Mytilus edulis: one gene and its partner. The protein of the gene in region 2 binds, or shares a complex with, the protein of the main gene of each other region. Links are inferred from orthologs where the notes say so. Each region holds a gene or a part of one and is shown on either strand. Other genes may lie near its edges.

Region 1 (8,088 bases), on a different chromosome or scaffold from region 2:
TTGGAAACTAGCAAATGTTAAATTTATAAGGAAAATGGGAAAGTCAACATATAATAACCCTTCTTCATATCGTCCAATTAGTCTCACAAGTATACTGGGTAAAGTTATGGAAAGAGTAGTAACATCTAGACTAGAAGGTTATATAGAGACCAACTCCATATTGGATCCAGAACAAGAAGGGTTTCGCCACTATCGCTCTACTGAAAATGCCTTGTTAAGTTTAACTCAAAACATCTTTAATGCCTTCAATAACAACGAATTTATATTAGCAGTCTTTATTGATCTTGAAAAAGCATACAACAGTGTTTGGAGGGAAGGACTTCTAACAAAACTTTATGATAACGGTGTTAAAGGTAACATCTGGAATTGGATTAACAATTTTTTAAAGGAAAGACAAGCAAGGTGTGTGATTAACAACCATAAAGGAAGCTGGTTTGAAACCAAAATAGGTCTCCCACAAGGATCAGTTATAGCTCCACTTCTTTTTAATATCTTTATCAAAGACATTTTTGCTAACCTATCATGTAAAAAGTGCAAATTTGCTGATGATGGTAATGTATGGATAAATGGAAAGAACTTGAATGACATGGAGAAACAGGTACAAAAGGATCTTAACATAATCCAGGATTGGACCAAAAAATGGAGAATTAATTTAAGTATTGAGAAAACAGAATATTGTATCTTTTCAAGGAATGGTCCAATAAAGAAAATGAATTTACAACTAGAAGGTAAATTGTTAAAATATAACTGTAATCCAAAAATATTAGGAGTCACGTTAGATGAAAAACTATTATTTCTCAAACACATCGAAAATGTAGAACAAAAGGCACATAAAGCAATTAGCCTACTTAGAATGATCAAAGGAGTTGCAAAAATTTCTACAAAAATTCTACTTCAAATTTACCAAAGTATTGTCCTTTCCACCTTAGAATATGCAAGTAGTGTTTGGCAGACCTGTGAAACCAATATAACAGACAAACTGAACAAAATTCAACGAAAGGGATTAGCTATATGCCTTAATGTTACCCCAACATCAAGTGTAGAGACTTTGGAAGTAGTTTCTGGAATCCTACCAATACATCTGCGTAGAGAAGAAATTGCAACTCGTACACTTGCAAAAATTATTTCGTATGATATCTCCATTCCAATAAAACAAATCCTGGATGATTGGAAAACAATTGACATCCCTGAAAAATATGTATCTCCAGTGGGAAAAATGATTCTTCAGGCAGAAGACATGAAGGTATGTACAGGTGTTGATGTAAATGGTATAGAAGCAGAATTTCAGTTTAATGGGATACAAAGATATAAATCTCCTCCAGATTATTGGAAAAACCTTGGAAATTCCAAATCAAGATTAACAGACCAAAAAAATGTTGGAAAACACATAATAATGGAAAAACTAAGTCATCTTCCAGCAAATTCATGTATAGCATTTACTGATGGGTCCTGTCTTGGTAGTCCTGGCCCTGTAGGAGCAGGTGCTGTCATCTTTCCATCAAATAATCAACCACAAATTGAAATTAGTAAAGCTGTATCCAAAAAAGGATCAATACTACTAGGAGAACTGATCGCCATTAAACTTGTTGTTGACCACTTTTTAATATCAGAAAACAGACAAAACACAGACTCAATTACACTTTTTTCAGATAGTCAGACCTCAATTGGAATTTTAACTTTAAACTGGAAATCAGAGAATTACATCAAAGTCATAAGAGAAATTAAGAAAAACATGAAAGTATTAAAGATGAATGGAATTCCATTAAATTTTGAATGGACACCTGGTCATGCTGATATCCAAGGAAATGACATTGCTGATTCACTGGCCAAAAAAGGAGCTAAAGAAGCTGAAAAAATAGAAGAACCATCAGAAGTAACCAGGCAGGATATAAAACGTGCAGCAAGAGAAAGTGTTTTAAGAAAATGGCAAAACCAATGGGAATCAAGTCAACGTGGCAGAAATTATTACAACTATCATCAAAAAGTCTGTCAGAAAATACCAAAAGATTTACCATCCAAATGGTCGTTTTCAATTACTTCTAGTTTGAGAACAGGTTATTGTGATCTAAATGATTATAAATCCAAAATTATACCATCATCAGACAAAAACTGTTCCTGTGGAGAGCCAGAAACTGTAGAACACTACCTTTTACATTGTTCTAACTATGAGGAGGCTAGAGAGAGGATGAGAACATCTATTTACTTCATTACAGGAAATATACACATGGATTTAGACACCTTATTAGGAATCGATGAAGAAGAAATTAATAGAGACAATCGAAATGAGATATTGTGCCATCTGGAAAATTATTTAAAGGAGTCTGGTAGATTCAAAAACACTATACAGCAAAAAACACTATAAATCTATATCAAAATTAAGTCAAAATTTTTTAAGCAGCAGCCACAATTTCAATTAAGTACATGAGTGAACATTACATATGTGAAGAAACTACAAAAGAGGAAACGTACACAAGTGTTTACAGTGTCATTTGGGACACTTACTAAAGACTAAAGACTAGTGAAAGTCAAAATTCAGAAATCGATGGGTCTCTGTGAAAACTGTTAAAATATGGAAAAATGAAAGTTGGCAGGTAGGTGAAACTTACATAAATGAAAAGATAAATGAAAAATGAACAGATTGCTGCCCGATTTATATAATTCCAAGGCCGTCAGTCGGCACCAAAAACGAAGCAGCGCATCTATTTTGGGTGGGCAAATATCCACTTTTTGATATGGGACGAGCTCTGACGTCCCACGGCCCCAGCTTGTCTGGCAAAACAGCCGTTGGACGTCAGAGTAATCTCGGACTAAAAATTCACCAACAAAATTTTTTTGTCCATTTGTTATGAACTAATTATTTACTCAATGTCATCTGCATCCTCGTTCGAATTGTCATCGCTCTCTGATGAGTGACGTCTTTTTCTGATTGCTCTACATTTTTTCTTCTTAAAAACCTCCATCTATCTTTCTTTACTTAGGTCAACTTTCTTGGCAAAAAAATACGAACATTATTAGTTTTTAACAAGGGAGGTAATCGATGTAACACAATAAAAGTTGTACGGATGGGATCGGACACGGTTTTATTCCGAATATTGTATTTTTTCTGAATTAATATTTAGGAATTTTTCACGAAAAATAATGATATATAGATAAATGAAGGTCAATGCATAGTTATTATTAAAATATGGTGGTTATTTATCGACCAGCGGCAAATATCAACAGATTATTCTATATTTTTTTTACAATATTATAACATGGTTTAGATACCGTGCATGATTGCTCGTGATCGACGACACTTAATTTATTCTTCTTCTTTATATTTCAGCACACCACCAATATACTGATGATAAGGTGCCCGGGCACTAATACCACAAGCCAGCGGGTGCGTGGGATCTAATTTCTATTTACAGTTAAATATATACAAAATGAAATAAAAATTCCAACCGATGCATAAAGTTCCCTTTTCTTCTGTTTTTTTTTTACTATAGATCATATTTAAGTGTTTAGATGTTTGTTGAGAACAGATATTGGTATACATGTGTGAATGTTGACATTTTATTGTGTCAGATTGCGTACTAAGTAGATCTGTCGGGTATATGACTACAATATGATCTATGATTTTGTAGAAGATCACGGATGCGTTCCATTTTAGGTTGGGCTCAGTAAGGATTGTTTAGCCAAGATCATTTGTGGATATTTCTTTTTGCAGCAAATGTTGCTGAAGGGTATAGTTGAATTCTAATGGGGTTTTCTTGGTTGTTATCTCAATGACCGAACACTTCTCTGGATGGAATGACATGGGCAAATCTGGCAGTGAATCTAACGGTCTTTTTATTTTCGTATTGATTTGCAAATTATGGTGTGATCTACCCCCCCCCCCCCCCCCCAAAAAAAAAAACTCAAGTGTTCTCGTGTTTGATATATACACACGGAACAGAATAGGGCATTAACTGTTCCTTGGGGGAACACCAGATGTTTATTTATTATTTGAACTAGAGATTTGAACTTGACCGGCTCCAGTGAAGGCGAGTACTCTTAATTCGGTAATTCATGTATGTTGTTTTTATTTTCACTTGCATAGTGTTTTTTACGGATCTTCGATGTCATATTGAACTGATTTGTATAGATTAGTGTGTTTTAAAGTTTTATCCCAGGTTATGGGCTTACAAACATTTATTGCGAAGGAATTAAAACCTTTGAAGTTTCGTGAAAATCATTTTGCTTTTGTCAGAGCATTTAAAATGTTTGAAGCTTGACTGTCCAATCAGTTATCTACATTGAGTCTATTTAACATAAACTTTAACAAAAATTCTCCTGAACAATACGATGGCATTACTATCATTTCCTTGCTGGAGAACTTATATTTCGTAGTTGTTTTTTGTCCTGTTCGACTAGTGTGGCGTGGGCATTGCTGGTGTACGTAGAGCTAGCTAGTCTATAACATGCCTGTTACCGCTTATATATGTAAAGTTTTCATAATCTTAGCTGAATACTCAGTACAGATTTATCTGAATTGTTCTATAATATTCGCTTAAAAATTATGATATGCAACAGCAGATGAAAAGGTTACTGCTAAAATGTCAATTCGGTTAGCTTTAAATCTAGAGCATTAATAGGAAGAAAATAGCTGACACAAATCCAGAAATAAACTGTTTCTATATGAAGTTAAGGTTTGGATTTTAAATTTGAAACCACAAAATCATAATGACAAAATGGACAATACATAAAACAAAACTTATACAATTCTCATTATTTATCAACAAGATTCCATAATGTGTTTGCGCCAATTGTCGTATAATGGTCTATAATATTGAAGCAGACCGTCAGACGATTCTATATGGTTTTAGTTCATAAACTGTAGTAATAGACAGTGTTATATTCCAGTCAGATCTTCTTAGTCAAATGCAATTCATAAAAGTAAAACAAAAACACACTCCAAAACTCCAAAACACTTATAATTATTTGATATGTTGTTTATGACATGACAAATGCGATGTTTGGGAAAACCCATTCTAGATCATTCTATCACTGACAGCAACTTTGTCAATATAGAAAAAATACTATTTCAAATATGTGTTTTAAAACAACATATATAACTGATATACGTATTGTCCGATAAAGGTCGAGTTATTTACTAGGCAGATGTCAAATATTGGAATTGTGATGAATTATATAAACTGTCCCAAATGAATTATTCATGCTAGACTTTGACAATATTACACAGGTAACGGTCAGATCGATATTCCACTTAGAAATTACCTGCAAATGTCGATTTCAAGATAATATGATTTTAAAAATAAAGGCAATTCCAAATCGATTAAAAATGTTGTATATATACCATCTCACTAAACATAATTAAATACAACACTACATCAAAAGACGGCTTTAATATCACATTAACTTTAACACGTTTTGGCAAGCAAATAACAAACTCAGCTACTTCCGGTACAGCAATACTATTGGATTTGGAATGGATTCTTAATATCAGGTTTGTATATTTTTATATTTTAATTTCCTGTAGAAGACTTTGACCACTTTCTCCTTTGGTTACAGTACACTATAAATATATACTTTTTTCAGCTCAATCAATACTCTAATTTGGAATATAAACAGCAACAGATCAGATTATGAAGTGTTTTCTGATTTGTGATGGTTGTTTACCCCAAACGATTCAGTGTATTAGATTTTGATAAATTGATCTCTGTGTCTTGATCGATAAATTACATTTTTAATTTAATCGAAATTATTGTGTGGTTTGGTTTGGAGCTTTCTGTTGATTACTCAAGACACATTTTATTATATCTTGAATGAGCCATACATGTACATGTATGTGTATTTGAAATGAAATCTGAACGTAGTTGTTTCTTATTCTAGTATGAAATAAGATATATGTGAAAGGATTGCCCCTGAGACAACTAGCCAACAGAGTTCTTAAATGAAGTGCATTCCTATGGTTACCTGCCATACGGTCGTCGACAATGAGAAATGCCAATACCATATAGTCAGCTATAAACGGCTTCGACAAATGTTTTTATCTCACCTGGCCTGGCTTTTATCATCACTTGGCGTCCGTCGTCCGTCGTCGTTAACTTTTACAAAAATCTTCTTCTCTGAAACTACTGGGACATATTTATCCAAACTTGGCCACACTCATTATTGAGGTATCTAGTTTTAAAAATGTGTCCGGTGACCCGGCCAACCAACCAAGATGGCCGCCATGGCTCAAAATAGAACATAGGGGTAAACTGTAGATTTTGTCTTATATCTCTGTAACCAAAGCATTTAGAGCAAATCTTGCATTTCATTAGGTCAAATCTATCTGCCCTGAAATTTTCAGACAAATCGGACAACCCGTTGTTATGTTGCTGCCCCTGAATTTGTAGAAAACTTTGCCGTTTTTGGTTATTATCTTGAATATTATTATAGATAGAGATAAACTGTTTGCAGCAATAATGTTCAGCAAAGTAAGGTCTACAAATAAGTCAACATGACCAAAATGGTCAGCTGACCCCTTAAGGATTTATTGCCCTTTAGTCAATTTTTAACATTTTTTTGGTAAATTTTTGTAAATTTTTGTAAATTTTTGTAAATCTTTGGAATTTTGTATCCTCAATGCTCTTCAACTTTGTACTAGTTTGACTTTGTAGATATTTTGATATGAGCGTCACTGATGAGTCTTATGTAGATGAAACGCGTGTAAATATGTGACGTTATCCAATCAAAATGAACGTTACAAATTTGTTGCATTAGAATTAGGAGATAACTGTATTGTATTTTAAGCTCCGACGGCATCAATTGAGGATTTGATGGTCGCAAATTAAGTGTACTGGCGACGCGTTAGACAATATTGTTATCTCCATTCTAATGAAACTGACTGAAAACAACGTTAAAAAATGTATTTAAAGTTTGCCATATGACGTCTGCGCAGCCGCTTGCGCGTACGTCCCATAGCATCAATTGACAATGTAAATATGTGACGTTATCCAATCAAAATGAATGTTACAAATTTGTTGCATTAGAATGATTAGTCTTATGAAGACAAAACGCGCGTCTGACGTACTAAATTGTAATCCTGGTTTTCGAACAACTAAGGATTTTCTTATCCCAGGCATAGATTACCTTAGCCTTATTTGGCACAACTTTTTGGAATTTTTGTAAATCTTTGGAATTTTCTATCGTCTGTGCTCTTCAACTTTGTACTAATTTGGCTTTATAAATATTTTGATATGAGCGTCACTGATGAGTCTTATGAAGACAAAACGCGCATCTGGCGTACTAAATTATAATCCTGGTACCTGTGATAACTATTTACAAAAATCTTCTTCTCTGAAACTACTAAGACAAATTTCACCAATCTTGTCCACAATCATCATTAGGGTATCTTATTTTAAAGTGTATTCGATGACCCCGCCCGCGAACCAAGATGGCCGACATTGCTAAATATAGTACATAGGGTAAAATGCAGTTTTTGGCCCATATCTCTGAAAACAAAGCATTTAGAGCAAATCTGACAGGATAAAATTGATCATTAGGTAAAGATCTATCTGCCAGGAAATTTTCAGATGAATCGGACAACCCGTTGTTAGGTTGCTGTCTCTGAAATGGCAATTTTGAGAAACTTGTTTTGCAGCTTTTGGTAATTATTTTGAATATTATTATAGATAGAGATAAACTGTATACAGCAATGTAAGACCTAAAAATACGTCAACATGACCAAATTGATCAATTGACCCCTTAAGGAGTTATTGCCCTTTATAGTCTATTTTTAACAACTTTCAAAATTTTGTGAATTTTTACAAAATATTTTCCACTGTATCTACTGGGCCAAGTTCATTATAGATTGAGATAATTGTAAGCAGCAAGAATGTTCAGTAAAGTAAGATCTACAAACACATCACCAATACCAAAACACAATTTTGTCATGAATCCATCTGTGCCCTTTGTTCAATATGCTCATAGACCAAGGTGAGCGACCCAGGCTCTTTAGAGCCTCTTTATATTCGCTGATACAAAATCAGAAAGTTGTTATAATAATATTTAATATATAATATACTGGAAACTTTTTTTGTCAATTTCTACCAAACGATT
Region 2 (7,618 bases):
ATCCATGAAATGAGGTTGAGGTCAAGTGAAAACTGTCTGACGGGCATGAGGACCTTGCAAGGTACGCACATACCTAATATAATTATCCTATTACTTATAATAAGAGAGAATTCAACATTACAAAAAATCTGAACTTTTTTTTCAAGTGGTCACTGAACCATGAAAATAAGGTCAAGGACATTTGACATTTTTTTCAAGTGGTCACTGAACCATGAAAATGAGGCCAAGGACATTTGACATGTGACTGATGGAAATTTCGTAACATGAGGCATCTATATGTATATACAAAGTATGAAGCATCCAGGTCTTCCACCTTCTAAAATATAAAGCTTTTAAAAAGTTAGCCAACGCCGCCGCCAACGCCGGATCACTATCCCTATGTTGAGCTTTCTGCAACAAAAGTTGCAGGCTCGACAAAAATTAATATTCCTCATAATATATGAGACAACAATCTGTGAAAACAGATAATGGAACATTTTCTCTAAAATTAGGACTGTATTACTTTTCATTTCAAAATTTCAAATTTACAACAAAAGCTAAATATATTAACAGAAACATTTCAGTAAATTCAGAAATTATTGCGATGCTTTTATTAATGCAAAAAATGTGACAGGGTAATACATGTCATTGCATGTAATCCCAATAATTTGAACTCGCATTTTTTTACATTTTTTACACATGACTTGTTGAAGATTTTTGGCATTATGCTTGTGGTTGGTAAAAAAAACCGATCACTGTCAAGAACAATATAGGTAATTAATGTACAAAATGTAGCTATATATAGATACATACAAGTCTAAATTGAAATCAACGTTCAATCCTATGATCAGTGATGATTGCATTTTATCAAAACTAGAATTGTATACATGTTCCACAGTTTGGGATGCAGTAACCTGATTTAAATCTATAACATCACATGGTCAACATATAGTCTAAATAATTATGACGTCTTGAAAGGCTATTATAATTTTTTTCTTCTTACTTCGAAGTAAGGCGTCAAAGAAAAAAATTACAATAGCCTTACAAGACGTCATAATTATTTGTACTAGGTCAACATATAGATGTACATGTACTGTAGATCAGATTGTTAAATATAGTGTTACCTGGGCGACTTTTGACTTGAACATGTAGTCTAGAATGCATACCAGTTGACATATTCCAGACTAAATGCATCTATTGTAGAGTACGCCGGTTACGTACAATCAAACACAATATGCATTAGTCAAGAGAGCTCCCAATGGTCAGGAGTTCCCTTAGAGTTAATATAGACGTCCAAGCTAACAGACGTGTTTCCTGATGGTAGGAGCCTGGAATTTGGTGCTGTACACAGACCCTTGTAACTCTCAACCTTAGAGTACTCAGCGACACTCTTATATATCTATTAGTATACTTAAGTCACTACACTATGATACAAGCCCCAGTTGTAGACCAAACAGGTTACTGTAAGTAGATGTGGTTTCTCAGTTTTAAGGTTTGTTTGTACAGAGTAGTACATGTATATTGTGTAAACACTTAACACAACTATTTTTGTCAAATGTTTATGAGTAGCTTCACATTTCAGACGAAACATAATTATATCAGAAAAAGTGACCAGTGTAATTAAGGTTCATCATAACAAATGGACAAATATGGCCGTATTTTCACCTCAAAAACTACTCTGTGTTCAGACTTACCTGTGCTGTTTGGAAAGTTTTAATGCCTAGCATCCACTAGATATATAAAAGTTAAATGCATTTTGTGTTTAAAAAAGATAAAATCTTTCTTGGTTTTTGATGGGCATTTTTTTTTCCTTTCTGCAGAAGGTGCAAATATAAACAAACACCTGAATTACTTTGATACTGTCCACTCACTGACTCAGATAAACTCTTTAACTCACCCAAAGTTGTGAAGATACCTGGTGTCCTAGTCACGGAGAGATTCAATATGACCGAATAAAATAGGCGGAGAATGTATACAAATGGAAATAATTAGATAATAGTGTTAAGGAAATGAATATTCAAACATAAATAGGTACGTCATATCCTAGAAAAATATCTAACGAAACGAACTATATATATTGACAAGTTTTGCATGGATTATAAACAATATTTTTTTTGAGAAATAAGTGCGACCTGAACCTGGGTCGCAATTCCGAACATTTTGTAATAGGAAAAATCTGTAGCTCTATGGTCCGCAAATAGTCAAAAAATAACATAAGGACATAAGAGCTACGGTTCCGCAGCTAACATAAATGAAGAGATAAATGAAAAATGAACAGATTGATGCCCGATTTATATAATTCCAAGGCCGTCAGTCGGCACCAGAAGCAACGAAGCAGCGCATCTATTTTGGGTGGGCAAATATACACGTTTTGATATGGGACGAGCTCTGACGTCCCACGGCCCCAGCTTGTCTGGCAAAACAGCCGTTGGACGTCAGAGTAATCGGACTACTGGTGTCCATGTCAATTAAGGACAGTGAAAACAATACAAACCGTTTTTTTACCTGAGGGAGCATCTCATAGTTGTACCACAACTTGGTCAATTTTCAAACCTTTTGCATGAAGGAAAAAAAATGCCTATCAAAATCCAAAAGAGATTTTATCTTTCTGAAACACAAAATGCATTTAACTTTATTATATCTAATGGATGCTAGGCATTAAAACTTTTCAAACTTTACAGGTAAGTCTGTACTCAGAGTAATTTTTGGAATGTAAATACAGCCATATTTGTCCGTTTGTTATGATGAACCTTTAAAAAAAGTATATAATTACAAAGAGAAATGCCCGAGACTGAATAAACAGTGAATTACAGACACTCGGTTTGGCCTCTTTATGTTATGCACTGTCAAAATTAAATTTATATGCATAAATAATGAATAACATATGTTTCAGTCACAATTTCAAATACGTTATTAGTTACACACCATGACGGTACTTCGAAATTATTGACCAGCGGGCCTTCATTCTGTTGGATGTGTTGATTCTTCGCCATGTTTTTATAGTAAGCTGTGATCAACTCGCCCCATTGGAAAATCGACCCACACCAGCTCCGCTTTTTCACCAACTCGCCCCTCTTTTTAAAAAAATCGTCCCACTCTTATCAACCCGCCCCAATTTAACTATATTGCGGAAATAATAATAATAATAATAATAATAATAATAATAATAATAATAATAATAATAATAATAATAATAATAATAATAATAATAATAATAATAATAATAATAATAATAATAATAATAATAATAAGGCTCATTCTATATGCCACTGACACCGGAACATGGAACACATTTATAAAGGAATTAGATAAATCATTAGACCATATTTCAAACAAAAATCAAACCATCATACCAACTGGAGATTTCAACTGCCCAGACATAAACTGGAACACCATGTCCGCAAACCAAAATGCACAAGACAAGGAAATCCAAAGAGCTCTAATGGAAGTTATCATATCACACTCACTAACACAGATACACGAAACACCAACAAGAAGCAATAACTTACTGGACATAGTGCTGACTAACTTCACTTCAAACCCGTCACTTATCAAAACATCTTCTAATGCTCCAGGAAAATCTGACCACGATATGATTGTAACAGACTGCGACATAAAACCACATTATCAGAGTAAGAAGCCACGCAAATGCTACATATACTCCAAAGCAAAATGGGAAGATCTACACAAAGACCTGACTATATATATCCTTTCAACCAACACCATTGAAATGTACCATACAGGCGCCACAGTACAGGAATTATGGGACAAGTTCAAGACAGACCTTTTTTCGAACCTTGACAACCATATACCATCAAAACTCATCCAATCTAAAACCAGTCTACCCTGGATCAATCATAAAATCAGGAAAATGTTTTAAAAGAAAACAAGGCTATATCAACAGGCAAAGAAAACCAAAGACAAAACTCTGCCGACAACATCAAAGCATATAAAAAGCACAATACTGCCTTTAGACATAAGACCAGATGAAGTCGAAAAGCTGCTGAAAAAAAATAAATACATCCAAGGCATCAGGACCAGACGGCATACCAAACCGTATATTGAAAGAATGCTCAAAACAACTAGCACCTGGACTTACAATGATATTCCCAAAATCCATCAACACTGGTACACTACCAAGAGACTGGCTAAACGTAAATATATCAAGTGTCTTCAAAAAGGGAGATAAACATGCACCAGAAAACTACAGACCAGTATCACTAACATCTGTACCATGCAAGCTACTGGAACATATTATCTGTAGACATATACTTTAAAAAAAATAATCATCTAGAGAAGCACAGAGTACTTACATCACTAAACCATAGCTTCAGGTCAGGCTATTCCTGTGCAACCCAACTGCTAGTCACACTACATGACTTCATGAAAGCCTTTGACGCAGGAAACAAATTGATGTAGATATCCTGGACATTTCCAAAGCATTTGACACTGTGCCACACTACAAACTGCTGCACAAAATGAATGAATACGGTATAAGAGGACCACTAAACAAATGGTTGGAGATGTTCCTAACCCAAAGGAAAATGAAAGCTGTCGTAGATGGGGAGGAATCAGAAGAAGCTTCAGTTGACTCCGGTGTAACACAAGGTACAGAACTAGGACCCCTTCTCTTCCTCTGCCACATTAACGACCTTCCAGATTCAGTACAATCTTCTGTGAAGACTTTTCGCAGATGACTGCCTCCTGTACAGGAACAGAAATAGTCAACATGACAACACACTCCTACAGCGAGACCTCCAAAACCTAGAAGTATGGACCAAAAACTGGGGCATTCGCTTCAATGCAAAGAAGTGCTATATACTTAGTATCAAGAACAAAAGCCAGATGATGTACAGCCTAGACGGACATGTACTACAACAAGTCCAACGCAACCCATACCTAGGCTTACAAATATCAGAAGACATAAAATGGACCACGCATATCTCAAATGTAGCCAAGAAAGCCAATTACACACTCGGCTTTCTAAGAAGAAATCTACACTTCTGCCCAAAAGATTGCAAAATGACCGCATATGTATCATTAGTACGATCAACTATGGAATATGGTGCCATAATATGATACCATATACACAGCATGATATAAATCAATTGAAAGTATACAATGCAGAGCAGCTAGATTCATTACAGGCGACTATAGGTTTAGAGAAGAGGGGTCGGTAACCAAAATACTAGCCGAGTTGGAACTAGACAACCTACAAACGAGAAGAACAAGTCAGCGGCTGGTATTTCTGTACAAAGTGGTTGAGGTGTTGGTCTCAGCTCTTAATCCCGACGATTTTCTTGTTAAAAGTAAACCTAAGAGGAAAATCAAACCCAAAACATTTGACAATTTTGTAAGTGCCAATATAGTGACAAATTCAGTGAAGAACAATTCTAAAGGCACTAGAAACTATTCCTAGCAGCACCGATCCATATAAGAACTCTATCTTTGTCAAGAGCATACTACACTGGAACCAACTGGAAGACCGTATTGTATGCGCAGATACAGTTGAGAGCTTCAAGGCTGCTCACCAACACCGTTAATAGGTGTCTTTCTCTCCCGTTGAGTAAAAGTCAGAATTTGTGTCTTCAACGTACACATACAGGTACCAATACAGACAGATAATAATTATAATTTTATTCCACAACGCTTCAATCAGTTTGGAAGACTTTCCGATTTTTCACATTCACAAGTTTCGATTTCCATGACAACGGCAGCCATCTTTAAAGTGCCAGCCCCCGATTGCACATCTACACATGGGGGTTAACATTATGATAAAGTTCCATCAATCATCATTGGTCCATACAATTCCGAGAAATAGTCTGGACAAAAAGAGTGAAATAATAATCATTATTAATAATAAAAAAAATTTAAAAAAAATAAAAATTTGGAACAATAACAATATGTCACCCGACCTCCGTCAGGGTGACATAATAATAATATCTTTTTTAAAGAGAGTAACTCATCAAGTTTGCATTAAACCAATTTTCAATAAGGCTCTCTACATACAATAGCAACTACATGAACAAAATTAAGTAAACATAATTAATCTTATAACCTTATTACACACATATAAACAATAGATGTATATTAACACAAATATATATAACAATAATAAAACACAAAAACAAACAAAAACAAACAAACAAAAAAAAACAAAAAAAAAACCCACCTATACGGTATACATTGTGGCGTAGCTTATAAATTTTACACTTTAGAAAAAGACTTGTAAGAGTAATTGATTGCAGATATACTTTATTTACTAATTTCAATGGATAGTGAATTCCACACTAAGTTTTATGAAAAGAAAAGCCGGAAAAACTTGATTTGTATAATTATTTTGTATTTAATTTAGGGAAAATACAATTATCTGCTAATAAAAGTATTGTACGATTGTTACTATTTGTAGTCACAATACGATTGGATAAATATGTTGGTGTCAGGTCATGTTTTGATTTATACATTATAATAATGACTTCTGGTAGAGTATTCTATTTTCAAGAGATCTTCCCTAAAGTTTGAAAGTACTATTTTTGTTTCAAATGTTAAAATTCGCTAAAAAATAATTCTCAATTGAAATAAGTATACTACAAGTATATCACGCATTATATCAAACCTCTGATTATGAGCGACCTACTTTTAGCGAATTTGAAAATGACAAGCCTTACATTTGCTCTAAGAAATGGTATTACGTTTTCGCGATTTCACCTGTAATTTACCTAAATTAGGCTTTTACATGTGATTTAATCACAGGCACTTGTCTCCAATTTTGTTTCCCTATTGGTACCTTAATGATATATTAATGTATATAGGAAAAAAAATTCTGAGACAGTTGCCTGTGGATTGAATCATGAGAATAATAATATTACTTGTGTGTGTTTTTTTTTAATATAGGAAAATGAGGTATCTCGTTGGTTGTTGTCATACATGTTTTTTTCATTTATTGATTTGAACCGTGGCATGGTTTGCATTCATACCAGATTTTATTTTTTATAAACATTTTCCTTCAGTATAACTGAAATAGCCTTTGTTTGTATACAGTGTCTCGTAAGTCTTTATAGGCTGGGTATTGATCCTTTTTTTTATGATTTTGGTTTGTAATTTTATTGTAGATCAATATGTGATACTTTTATAAACTATCATTTATCTTTATCTTCTCTTATCTTTATCTTCTAAAATTTAAGAAATATTTCACATCAGCCGTATATTTGTTTTCATTCAACCATCTGACAATATATCGTTTGCAAAATTGTCTTCAATTTTCTCCATCGTGAGAAATGAAAATCCAAAATCTGCATAATTAATACATGCCTTCGTATGTTCCGTAGAATCAGAACAATCTTAATATCCTACTAAATAAGTTTTCTCTAAATGTATCATACCTTTAACCAAAGTCGAGTTGTTGCTCTTTTACAAATAATAACTGTACAAATCGGTGCCAAAAACGTCACAAATCCTTTTCGTTTTAAGGTATTCGACATGGCATCAGCGACCCTTTTGAGTATGATATTTCAAATTTGTATCTGTAAACTTTGTCTAAATAGCAGACCATAAAATTATCAGTCATCTAAAGCTAAAATTCAAATGTTTTAACCAGCGCACATCTTACGGAAATTTTTCTGTTGAAGACTATGTATTT

What was found.
Region 1: nuclear inhibitor of protein phosphatase 1-like (region 2) and splicing factor C9orf78 homolog share a complex: the UniProt entries of both Homo sapiens proteins name them as parts of the spliceosome. The link is inferred for Mytilus edulis from reciprocal best matches to the Homo sapiens genes PPP1R8 and C9orf78.

What each region holds. Positions count from the first base shown.
Region 1 is NC_092345.1:81,922,420-81,930,507, reverse strand, and holds the start of splicing factor C9orf78 homolog, read right to left. Parts: upstream 3,036-8,088; 5' UTR 2,961-3,035; coding exon 2,863-2,960; intron 1-2,862. UniProt on the Homo sapiens protein: Plays a role in pre-mRNA splicing by promoting usage of the upstream 3'-splice site at alternative NAGNAG splice sites; these are sites featuring alternative acceptor motifs separated by only a few nucleotides. May also modulate exon inclusion events.
Region 2 is NC_092344.1:126,236,371-126,243,988, reverse strand, and holds the start of nuclear inhibitor of protein phosphatase 1-like, read right to left. Parts: upstream 3,032-7,618; 5' UTR 2,973-3,031; coding exon 2,905-2,972; intron 1-2,904. UniProt on the Homo sapiens protein: Inhibitor subunit of the major nuclear protein phosphatase-1 (PP-1). It has RNA-binding activity but does not cleave RNA and may target PP-1 to RNA-associated substrates. May also be involved in pre-mRNA splicing.